Nothobranchius furzeri: one gene and its partners. The protein of the gene in region 1 purifies or fractionates together with the protein of each later gene. This does not show direct contact. Links are inferred from orthologs where the notes say so. Each region holds a gene or a part of one and is shown on either strand. Other genes may lie near its edges.

Evidence for each region.
Region 2: the proteins of vps33a (region 1) and vps41 purify together in Homo sapiens (affinity purification with mass spectrometry; 5 studies listed by BioGRID and IntAct, counting the BioPlex papers as one, with this or other methods). This does not show direct contact. The link is inferred for Nothobranchius furzeri from reciprocal best matches to the Homo sapiens genes VPS33A and VPS41.
Region 3: the proteins of vps33a (region 1) and tgfbrap1 purify together in Homo sapiens (co-immunoprecipitation; 5 studies listed by BioGRID and IntAct, with this or other methods). This does not show direct contact. The link is inferred for Nothobranchius furzeri from reciprocal best matches to the Homo sapiens genes VPS33A and TGFBRAP1.

The regions. Positions count from the first base shown.
Region 1 is NC_091757.1:37,278,741-37,282,964, forward strand, and holds the start of vps33a (vacuolar protein sorting-associated protein 33A), read right to left. Parts: upstream 2,886-4,224; 5' UTR 2,836-2,885; coding exon 2,734-2,835; intron 2,486-2,733; coding exon 2,420-2,485; intron 2,315-2,419; coding exon 2,187-2,314; intron 2,091-2,186; coding exon 1,904-2,090; intron 1,774-1,903; coding exon 1,657-1,773; intron 1,539-1,656; coding exon 1,364-1,538; intron 1,200-1,363; coding exon 1,006-1,199; intron 1-1,005.
Region 2 is NC_091747.1:46,098,501-46,101,646, forward strand, and holds the end of vps41 (vacuolar protein sorting-associated protein 41 homolog), read left to right. Parts: intron 1-99; coding exon 100-227; intron 228-300; coding exon 301-445; intron 446-520; coding exon 521-562; intron 563-637; coding exon 638-688; intron 689-771; coding exon 772-909; intron 910-994; coding exon 995-1,049; intron 1,050-1,129; coding exon 1,130-1,270; intron 1,271-1,339; coding exon 1,340-1,476; intron 1,477-1,726; coding exon 1,727-1,826; intron 1,827-1,908; coding exon 1,909-1,953; intron 1,954-2,042; coding exon 2,043-2,122; intron 2,123-2,221; coding exon 2,222-2,302; 3' UTR 2,303-2,520; downstream 2,521-3,146. UniProt on the Homo sapiens protein: Plays a role in vesicle-mediated protein trafficking to lysosomal compartments including the endocytic membrane transport and autophagic pathways. Acts as a component of the HOPS endosomal tethering complex.
Region 3 is NC_091749.1:37,399,926-37,404,165, reverse strand, and holds the start of tgfbrap1 (transforming growth factor-beta receptor-associated protein 1 homolog), read right to left. Parts: upstream 2,816-4,240; 5' UTR 2,800-2,815; coding exon of another isoform or gene 2,726-2,799; 5' UTR 2,708-2,725; intron 2,635-2,707; coding exon of another isoform or gene 2,566-2,634; intron 2,406-2,565; coding exon of another isoform or gene 2,301-2,405; intron 2,186-2,300; coding exon of another isoform or gene 2,070-2,185; intron 1-2,069. Other genes in the region: cul4a (cullin-4A), read left to right, coding at 2,070-2,185, 2,301-2,405, 2,566-2,634, 2,726-2,799, 2,876-3,038, 3,125-3,214, 3,345-3,427, 3,830-3,897. UniProt on the Homo sapiens protein: Plays a role in the TGF-beta/activin signaling pathway. It associates with inactive heteromeric TGF-beta and activin receptor complexes, mainly through the type II receptor, and is released upon activation of signaling.

The DNA of each region.
Region 1 (4,224 bases):
AGGAGAGCAGAAGACGGCAGGATTTGGAGTCTTATTTCCTTATATTCAAACATCTCGCCTCTGATTGGCTAACAGCTACCACTGACTCCATTTGCATTGCTCCACAAACAACACAAGCCTGAAGGAGTTCTGCTATGATGCGGTGCTGTAAATGCTAACGGTTGGCTTCTACTAGCCGAGACGTGCTCTGCTCTCTCCTGGATGCTATACCAATAACAGCCTTCCCCATCGTGAGCCAAGATGGGTGTGTCCATGAATGCTAATTTGACAATATGATGTGGAATTGTCAGGCTTTTCTAATCCAAGCGTTTCCCTATTTTTATCAGCTGCTAATGCAGGAAATAGGGGTGGTAGACTGTTTTCAGGTTTAGCCAGCATGTTAAACTCAGATTAACCGATCATATTTCAAAAATAACCAGTAGAAAGGGAACTCAGAGATGAGTCAGGGGTTAGGGGAAGGGGTTGGACAAATTCCAGTTAGTTTATATTTGGCTAAAGTTTTAAATGTTAGCTGTTAGCTTGTTCGTCTGTTCAGAACTAATCTCTGTTTCTCCAAACGGAGACCATTCAAATAGATAATGAAGTTATATAGCAGATTAAAATTTTTTTCAGGCCATGTAAAAATGCAAATGCTCAATTTAAAATTAAACAAAGGCATAGGTAGGTTTTCTGATTTGTTAAAAAAAACCTTTGATGACAATTTTGAACGTCTTCCTTAAAACACTTGTGAACATAAATCAATAAAAGCCTACAGCAGACAATTAGACTTGAAGGAGTAGGGCTGCATTCCATTAGGAAGATCTGCTCATTAGTGTTTTACAGAAAACCCAGCATGCAGAGCTACAGAAGTGGAAAGCAGCCATAATTGAAAACATGTGTTTTTTCCCCTTTTCTTTCAAAATAAAATAAGACAGTTATGTTATCTGGTAGGAATTAACACTAAGAGGTGCAAAATCTAAAAAAAACAAAAAAATTAACAAAAAACAAAAACAAAGGAAAACCAACCTCAAACGCTGCAGAAATGATTTTAGCCTTTTTGCTGAGTGCAGCACCAACAGCATTGAAATTTTTGTCCCGGATTTCTGCATACAGCTCTTCTGCTGAGTTGAGCTGTAACTTCTTGGGCTCTGTGGGTAAATCTTTGCTAGCTTCTCCTTGCTTCTTCTGTGCAAACTTCTCAGGAGGAAGCTTGACATATCCTGTCAGACGGCAAAGAGAAAAAAAAGGAAGAACTGTGCCTTTAGCAAAAAATAATTAAGTAGACTAAAATATATCATTGAAATAGAAAATATATTAAACATTTTTATGTTTTTATCTCACACAAAAATAGAACGATTCCAAACGTATGATGGTGCATTCTGACCGTTAGTTATTCCATAGATTTCATCAATGAGGCCTTCGTAAGTGAGCTGTGTAGCTAGAGGTGTGAGCAGGTCAATGTTGCGGTCCAGGAGGAGAAGAGTGTCAAACACCGGCAGAATCTGATTCTGAGTGCCAGCAAACTCCCTCTTCATCCGCAACATCATGTTGGCAACATGCTATAAAACAGAGAATATCTGTCAGGAAAAAGGTCTTTAATCTGCTCATTATTAATATTAACATTGTGTGTGTAAACAGTTTTTTCCAGTTACTGCACAGATCATTGGGTTTACTCACCCGTGCACAGTCTCCCTTCCCAAAAATCTGTGGAATGGTGCCGTAAAGCGCCTGCAGGGTCATGAGACCTTTGGCTGTGTGGTACAGGCTCGTCAGGTCATTTTCCAGGTAGCACTCCTGAATGAGATGAAAGCAAGTACAAATATGAAATGGTATGCAAAGATATACTCAAACACATAAAATAGAGCAGGAGGTTCTGATGTTGTGACTAAATAACACTCCATATTTGTAATGGGAAAAAACTCACCCTGAAAGCACTTTCATACTCCATAGAGAGCAGGTCTCCATCATAAGGAATCAGATCCAGGATGTACTCATCAATGTTGGTGAAAGAGGCCAGCACGCCCTGCTCTTTCAGCCGCTGCTCACACAGCATGCTCCGCCGAGGCACAAACAAAATGTGGAAGTCTCGTGATGAATGCAGCTTGCCTTCACTGAAAGGTGCACGATCCAAGATGCAAATGTTATACTTGTAAGGATTTCTTTAAGGGAAGATGTATAAACTGGTTGCTTATAACAGTGAGGGGCACCTGAATATATTGTCAGCAATGATGTCCATAAGCTCCAGCCTGGGACGAACAAAGAAGATGATGTTTTTGACATCAGCAGAGGGGAGTCTGCCACTCTTGAGGGTAAACATTTTTTCCACCTCATGTTCCTGAAAAACACACAAAAAAATGAGCAATAGAAGTGAAGGCTCAGGCTGTCAGATCTACTTACATTGTGTTTTATTTTAATAATCTGTAAAGGGTTAGGCACTTACCTTCAGCAGAGAATACTGAGCTATTAGTCCAAAAGGTCCTGTCAGATACTCATCCCAAACTATGGCCTAAAGAGCAACAACACATCATGTATCCATGAAAAACATTTTATTTATGGAAACAAGTTTTAAATCAAACTTAAGCTCACACGCGCATTTGCCCGTGGTCGCGTTTCACGTTGGTTTAAACCATAGACTGTACTGTAAACGCGACACAATCCGTCTAATTTGTCAGGATCATGAATACATTTTTGTACAAATAAGAAAAGACTATTTCCTTTTGATATTTTCCAGCGTCTGTAAGTGACTTTATTTACCTTACTTCCCGCGCATTTGTCCAAAAACTCTCGAAGTTCTTTTCGTGCCGCTTCTCTTAAAATGTTTAAATTCACTCTGCCGTAGGACAGATGAGCAGCCATTTTTTTCTCACAACACAACACAAAAATCAGGTGACTTCGGCAGGAAGTCAAAGTCACATGACCAAATGCGTCACAGTACTGACAAGACATTTAGGAAATTAAAATAAAATAAAAATTCAAGTTTAATTCAGCTTCATGTTAGTAGACTTTAGTTATATTACGTAGGTTAAAAAATTATATTTTAGGTCTAGAATAATTTTCTGGTGTCCCGGAAGTAAAGGAGGATTAGATAAAATCAACTCCGTACTGTTTAAAAGAGCTTTGCCTCAGTGTCACATATTAAATTTCTTTGTATGTCAACCACATGTAGACGATAATGCACCGAATGAAGTTGCTTTTGTCTCGGGTTTACAACCAAGGAAGTATGAGGAGTGAAACGTCTTGGTATCATTTCCTTGAGTGTAAAATTCAGAGTGACCGTTAGATGACGCAATTTTCCTGCGAAACAAACGCGCGTCTGCGGTCAAAACAAAGCACTAAACGTCTTTATTTTAGGGACACTTATCTTTGAATTTTAGGGTCCGTTTTTGGACATATGATTGTTGTAGCCAAATCAACACGAGACTCAAACTGTATTAAGACAAAAATGATCAAATTTTTAAAGTAAAACATTTGTTAGCGGGCAAAGTGTGTAATCCAAATTAAGTGGAATAAACCCCCCACAAATAATTGATTTCTAACGGAATTACAATACAACTTAAACACTACTGTACAGTTTATTTATTACTGTATGTTTATACATGTATAAACACAGAAAAGCGTTAAAAGGCGCACCACTGCAACTGCGTAATCAAAATGTCAGTGATTTCTCAACTGGAGTGCCTGCATGTTGAGATAAATTTAGACACTTATAAAGAAAACTGGATCAGGTGGTGACTGCCCACTTATGAGCATCATTGTGTTATCACTTCAGATCCAGGGGTTTCCTTCCCACGGTACCAAGGGCTTTCCAACCATCCTCCACGCATAGAAGACCGTTTCCCACGCATCGGGGTGATCTGCAACAGACAACTCCTCCAGCCAAATAAATAAATAAAATAAAATAAATAAATAAAGCACGGTTTTGGTGACAGGCACCATGCGCAATGACTAACTCTATGATCGGATCCAGGCTCTGCACAGAAATCTAGTCCGCTCCGTTCCCCGACAAGAGGAGAGGAGGCAGGGCTGGATTCTCAGGTAGGCATCACCATCTCTCTGCAAGGTTTTCTAAACATTGCATCTTCACCATGAGCATTGTTTTCATATTCTAATTTTGCGTTATGTCAGGTGATACACAGAAATGTCTCAAGTTGAATGAATGCAGCGCTTCATTCAGAAGAGAGGGAGAGTGAGTCATCTGTGTTAACACGGAGCATATTTCCTACCCTGTGTTAATTTGATGGAACA
Region 2 (3,146 bases), on another chromosome or scaffold:
TAGATCTAGATGGCTGAAAACCAGCTACTAACGTGTGTACCTACTATAGAAATGCACTCATTGCTCTTTAATCTTATTCCTTTTCTTATTTTCCTGAAGGGCTTTGCCACGCTGATCCGGGAGTGGCCTGGAGAACTTTACAACAACATGGCCATCGTTCAGGCCGTCACTGACCACCTGAAGAAGGATCCGACCAACAGCACGCTGCTCACCACGCTGGCTGAGCTGTGAGTCGCCTCAGCGCTCGCTTTCATCTAAGCTTCTTGTTAAGTTGCTGAACAGGACTTGATGCTTTCTCAGGTACACGTACGACCAGCGCTACGACAGAGCTTTAGAGATCTACCTGAGACTGAGACACAAAGATGTCTACCAGCTGATCCACAAGCACAACCTGTTCTCCTCCATAGAGGACAAGATCGTCCTCCTGATGGACTTTGATAAGGAGGTAACAAACCAACCTATTTATTATTTAGTCCATCTAAAGACCATTTATGTAATTAAATGTGTACGTTTTCATTAGAAAGCTGTTGACATGCTTCTCGACAATGAAGACAAGATTTCTGTGAGTAAATTTGACAGTTTTGAATGTCCTGGTAAGAACTTTGCTGCTAGCTGATGTCCATGGCTCTCCCGACAGATGGACAGGGTGGTGGAGGAGCTACATGGTCGACCTGAGTTGCTGCATGTGGTGAGTTTTCTGTAACTTGGATGTTTTAGGGGTTCATTTGAATTCATTGGTGCAGCGTGATGGCTAAGCCGTTTCTCTCCTAGTATCTCCATAAACTGTTCAAGAGGGACCACCACAAAGGACAGAAGTACCATGAGAAGCAGATCGGCCTGTACGCCGAATACGACCGGCCAAACCTTCTGCCTTTTCTGAGAGACAGCACTCACTGCCCTCTTGAAAAGGTACTGTGTGTTCCTGCCACCAGAATTACAAACAAATTAAGCTTCTGTCATTTCTTCTTACTTGAACTTTGTCGTTTTCATCCAGGCTCTTGAGATTTGTCAGCAGAGGAACTTTGTGGAAGAGACGGTCTTCCTGCTAAGTAAACATTTAGAAACAAACGCATCTGTTAAGGGAAACGTGAGAAACAAATGCAATTTTTTTTTCTCGTTCGTCTTTCAGGCAGGATGGGAAACTGTAGACGAGCCCTGCAGATGATCATGGAGGAGCTGGAGGACGTGGACAAAGCCATCGAGTTCGCTAAAGAGCAGGATGACGCAGAGCTGTGGGAGGACCTCATCTCGTACTCGATCGACAAGCCGCGTAAGACGTCACTTGACTCTGAACTTTTATCTCATTGTCTTTAACTCACTCCACCCTCACTAAACCCAGCGTTCATCACGGGCCTCCTGAATAATATCGGCACGCATGTTGATCCGATTCTGCTCATCTATCGGATCAAGGAGGGCATGGAGATCCCGAATCTCAGGGACTCGCTGGTGAAAATCCTCCATGACTACAACCTGCAGGTCAGGTGGCTTCTCTCAAAGAAAAACTCTATTTATTTAAATGTCTGCAGGTTGCAGACTGATTCTTTGGTGGCTTAAAGATTACATGACACACCAGGAGCTTCCTTCATGTAAAAACTTGTTATTAATCCATTAAGTTCTGCTTTTTGAAGAGTTATAACAGGTTTAACAGGTAATTTAATTGGTTTATATGGCATGAAATCTTCTGACTCACTTGCTTAATTACGCGCTTTTATTTCTCGACTTGTAGATTCTTTTAAGGGAAGGGTGTAAGAAGATCCTGGTGGCCGACTCCCTCTCCTTGCTCCAGAAGATGCATCGAACCCAGATGAGAGGAGTCCGGGTCGATGGTGGGAGCAGATTCTATTGCTAGTTTGTGTTGAACCAGTGCAGATGAACCCCTAAATGTGTTGATTCTGTTCATTCTTTCAGAGGGGAACATTTGTGAGTCGTGTCATGGTACTATATTACCATCAGGTGGGTTGATAATGTCATTGATCCCTGTGTTTTTTTTTTGTTTTTTTTTTTATGTTTACTGTATTAACAGCTTCATGTGTGTGTTTCAGACATGGCCCAGCCTTTCAGTGTGGTGGTGTTTCACTGCAGACACATGTTTCACAAGGAGTGTTTGCCGTCTTCAGGAATAGTAAGTCTGCATTCAAACACCTCTTTCCCAACTCTGGTGTTATTTTATCAGAAAACCTCAGGAACATCCTCCACTTTGTTCCCATTTTTACTTTTCCAGATTCCTGGAGTGCAGTTCTGTAACATTTGCAGTGCGAAGAGGCGAGGACCTGGAAGTGGAATACTCGAAATGAAAAAGTGACACTTTAATGCCCTCATGTTGTTGTTATTGATGCTTTTTGTCTCCTTTTTTCCCTCGTCGGTACGCTGATGAACAGGAATCTTTTTTCCTCAGTTGATGAACTGTACTCTCACCAAAATACAGAACTGTTACCCTTTATTTGTTTGCTAACTGTAAAGTGCCGTGTTTTGTCCAGATCACCTTGAATGTGATGAAGAATAAAATCACATAAACTCTGACTGTGTTGTTGATGCTTTATGTCATCCAAAATGCTTCTTAGGTTGAGAGTATCATAAATCATCAAAATGAGTTGCTGAGTGCATCACGGGAGTTTGATGCTCTCTACGGCCAATGCAAGAGCTACAGCTTCATTTTCTGTACAAATTTAAGTTCATTACTGGTTTGCGTCGATTCATCCAGGGTGTATCCTGTTTGTCTGGCATTCATGAACAAGATCTCATCTTGTAGTCGCAGAGATCTCATCTGTGCTTTATTGCACATCCTTATATAATTCAATTATTTGGGTGTCTAGTTGACAAGTGAGGACTGGATGGAGCAAAAGATGGGCCGGTGGATTGGGGCTTTGCAGTTGTAGCCGGTGCTTCATAACTTGTTCTTGTTGAAAGAATAAAAGGACGAAAATGCTCTTGATTTATTGGTTCATCTACATTCCCACCCTCACTGGTTTGGATAACCAAAAGTAAAAGATCCCAAATAAAAGCAGCTAAAATGAGCTTCTTTGGAGAAAAGATGAAGAGCTCCATCATCCAGGGGAGTTCCCATACATTTTTTGTCAGTATTTTAGGATTTATGGGTCTAAAGCAAGCCGTTTCAAAAAGTACCTGTCTGTAATGTCACAAATGGG
Region 3 (4,240 bases), on another chromosome or scaffold:
AACCATGGAGATCAAAAAGGTTGTTCTCATTTGATAAAATAACACCCTGAAAGGCTTTTCTGTATGACACATCTCTTGGGAGGGAGTGCAATGTATTTGATCTACTTGATGCACTGTTAAAGTTTTATTTTTGTGCCATAAACAGATTTGTATTGTAGTACCAAATACCTGCATTTTTATAACAATTCCAACAAATGTTACTTTATTGCCAAAATTCTGTCAAAACAAGGCATTTTAATGACTTTTCGATACTAAAATCATTTTAGACCTTTCATTGTTTTGTTACTGATCTAATTAATTTGACATGTACTTCTGCAGTGTAGTTGAAAAGCTATCATCCATCCATCCATCCATTTTTGTCTGCTTATCCCGGGGTCAGGTCACGGGGGCAGCAGCCTAAACAGAGAGGCCCAGACTTCCCTCTCTCCAGCCACTTGGGCCTAGCCTGGCAAGCCAGACTAAATAAATGTATTATTTGCAAACTTTGCAAAGCAAGAATTTGGTCTAGTTCACTAGGCTAACTTGGGCCAGCTTTTCTAAGGAAATCCCAAGGCATTCCCTGACCAGATGGGAAATGTAGTCCCTTCAGCATGTCCTGGGTCTTCCTTTAGGTGTTCTCATTGTTGGACATGCCGGAAAACCTCACCAGGGAGGCGTACAGGAGATGTCCTAACCAGATGCCCGAGCCACCACAACTGGCTCCTCTCGATGTAGAGGAGCAGCAAATTTACTCCGAGTTCCTCTTGGATGACTGAGCTTCTCATCCTATCTCTAAGGGAGAGCCCAGACACCCTGCGGAGAAAACAAATTTTGGCCGCTAGTATCCACAATCTCGTTTTTTTGGTTGCTACAAGGGATATAAAAAATATCGATATGGCAGTATATCAGGATATTTTTTCCAGCGATGTTATATCAATACTTAAAAGCCGTGTATAGAAAATATTGATATCACAATATATCGTGATATTTTTCCTGCAATATTGTATTGATTTTCAAAAGCTGTGTCTCTAATTTTTGGAAGAATTTACACGCAAACATTTGCGTATTTACTTTTCTTTTGGTGCAATTCAAACGCCGACCACTAGTTGGCAGCAGTGTGCAAAGGGTTTGTTTCCACCATTGAAATGTAAATCCCTCTATTATGGTTCAGATAACTCATGTTAAACATGTTCAGTATCAGTTTGGACTGTTTAATGAATTTTCTTACAATAAATTCAGTCTAAAAATATCACTAATATCGTCTGACTGAATGTATCGTGAGATATTATATCGCCTCCCCTGTATCGTGATAAGTATCGTATTGCTATAATTTCACCAATACACATCCCTAGTTACTACCCAAAGCTTGTGGCCATAGGTGAGGGTAGGAGCGTAGATCGACTGCTAGATTGATCAAAGCTATCATACATGTTTTCAAATCAGATGGAGCATAGATTAGTTAAATGTTTACAAAACAACGTTTGTTTTGAAGAGTTTTAACTCTGATCATTTTAAAGTTAATTTTATTTTATAAAATCTTCCACCTGGTGTTTCATGACCCACACCAACAGGATGAAAACACTTAGTTTATATGAGGTCAGTGCCAAAATGACATGAAAGAAGGGAAGTGACAGTTTACTGAAGCTGAAAATAATGTTTCAGATAGTAGAAATTATTGTTATTTTAAGCGTGATTCATTCAAACCTTTGAGTATTTATGTTTAGGTTTATGTATTTAGCAGACGCTTTTGTCCAAAGCGACTTACAAGTGATAAGTATTTGATTATTGAACGCCAAGTGAAAGATTATTTTTTAAGTATACTGCAATTTATAATTTGCACTGAACTATTCATTGATTTATAATAAGTATTTTTAAGGCTACAATTTATAGTCTCACATTTTTATCTTGCGGGTTGCCAAGCAAAGGGATTTTTTTGTCAAAATTACAGTGTGGGTTTTTTGTGCAATGACAATAAAGCAAATCAATCAAATCAATCAGTCAATCGATTAGTGGTAAACACACGCCTTATCTTGTCATTTCATGATGTTCTCTTTATAAATTGTGCAACCTTTGCTTTGCTTTGGTTACAGATAGGCCCAAGCTATCAGAGAACTACACAGAAGACACGTGGCTGAAGCTTCGAGACGCAGTAGGAGCCATCCAGAACAGCACCTCCATTAAGTACAACCTGGAAGAGCTCTACCAGGTTTGTCTGTTAAAACAAACAAGCTCAGTTTTGGGTTAGACATGTGACATCGTGTCAGCTGCTAACATGTCTATTATTTTTTCTTCTTGTCTGTGATGAAATATGTCACTGAAAGGCGGTGGAGAACCTGTGCTCCTATAAAGTTTCCCCCACACTCTACAAACAGCTGCGTCAAGTCTGTGAAGATCACGTTCAGGCCCAGATCCATCAGTTCAGAGAATATCCTTTTGACTTGTGCTCAGTCGTGTCAGACTAACCCCAAGTGTGGCTCAGATGTTTACAGCTTAAGACATATTTGACTATTTCTACCATCAGATGACCATAAACTCGACTCAGACTTCTGATAAATTTGACGTTTTTTCCTCAACTTGGAGCTCACAGAGTCTCTGGACAACCTTTCCTTCCTAAAGCGAATGAATCGATGCTGGCAGGACCACTGCAGGCAAACTGTAAGTGCAACGTCTGATAGATTTCCATATAAAAACTGTAGAATAAATGTCAGTAAAGCATAAATGAACCAACCTGTGTCCCTGTTTGTAGATAATGATCCGAAGTATCTTTCTCTTCCTGGATCGTACCTATGTGCTTCAGAACTCTCTGCTCCCCTCCATTTGGTAAACTCGGCTCGTTTGAGCTTTTCCCGGTCTGTCAGGATGCTCTCAGGAAGCTGATGCTGTTCATGTGCTGCAGGGACACCGGGCTGGAACTGTTCCGCACCCACATCGTGAGCGATGTTGCTGTTCAGAAGCGAACAGTGGAGGGACTTTTGGAGCAGATAGAGCTGGAGCGCAACGGCGAGACCATTGATCGCAGCCTTCTCCGGAGTTTACTGGGCATGTTGTCAGACCTGCAGGTACACCATCTCCAGTTTATCACATCTGTAAATGCACAGGAAGATTATTTTCCAACAAATCATCTAACCTAACAAAAACATTTTAGGTTTATAGAGACTCGTTTGAGGAGAGATTTTTGACTGAGACAAATCGTCTCTATGCAGCTGAGGGACAACGGCTGATGCAGGAGAGAGACGTGAGTGAGATGATAAATTCGTCTGTTTATCATGCGGTTAAAGTAAATTGTGAATTAGCAGTGTGTGCGTGTGTGTGCGTGTGTGTGTGTGCGTGTGTGTGTGTGTGTGCGTGCGTGCGTGCTCGTGCAGGTACCAGAATACTTGCACCATGTGGCTCGACGTTTAGAGGAGGAGAATGACCGAATCATGAGCTACCTCGACCAGAGCACTCAGTAAGATCTGGAACTGTCACAGCAGGATTTATTCACCCTTTAGCAAGGCTTAGACCCTGGAGCAAATATTTTCTGATAATTCTAGCTCTTTGAGATTAATCAGAACTGACCAAAATTCACAGAAGAAACCAGAGTCGACACACATCAATATGGAAGCAAACATATTTTTACAGTCTTTAAACACGGTTAAATAAATAATAATACAGGTTGGATATTTTTCCGATTTGATAGACTAAATTAGTTCATTCTGATGTTCTTGTATACAAAACCTTGGATCACAGATGTCTGCTGTAGACGATCCTTTTCTCCAAACTGTACAGTATTGTGTGTGTATCTGTTGTTTCCTGTTACACACACTTAGTTTTCCTTCTTTCTTGTGTTTTCTTTTTGCTCAATTCACAGGAAACCTCTCATTAACTGCATTGAGAAACAGCTTTTAGGAGAACATATGACTGCAATCCTGCAAAAAGGTACATCTGTTATTGTCAGAAGATAAGCGATGGTGTGAAGCCGTGTGAGATTCTTCAGAAGTGGTGCTGATGTGGATGTATCGCCTATAACTGGTCCAGCTGGGTTGAATTTATGTAATATAATGTCCTCCTTGTGAAACACAGCAGTCAAATTCCCAAAACTCTGTTTACAGCCAATCATTTTTAAAGAAAGCTCTGTCTGTTTACATAAATCTCGCTCTAGTTAATTGTTTTACACGTTTTATGAACCTCATAAATCAGAAACCATAACAAATTGACTAAACAAACTTTCTATTGAGCTCCGTTGTTTAGGGTTTGTTTCTTTTGGCCTTCTGGGTTTGTT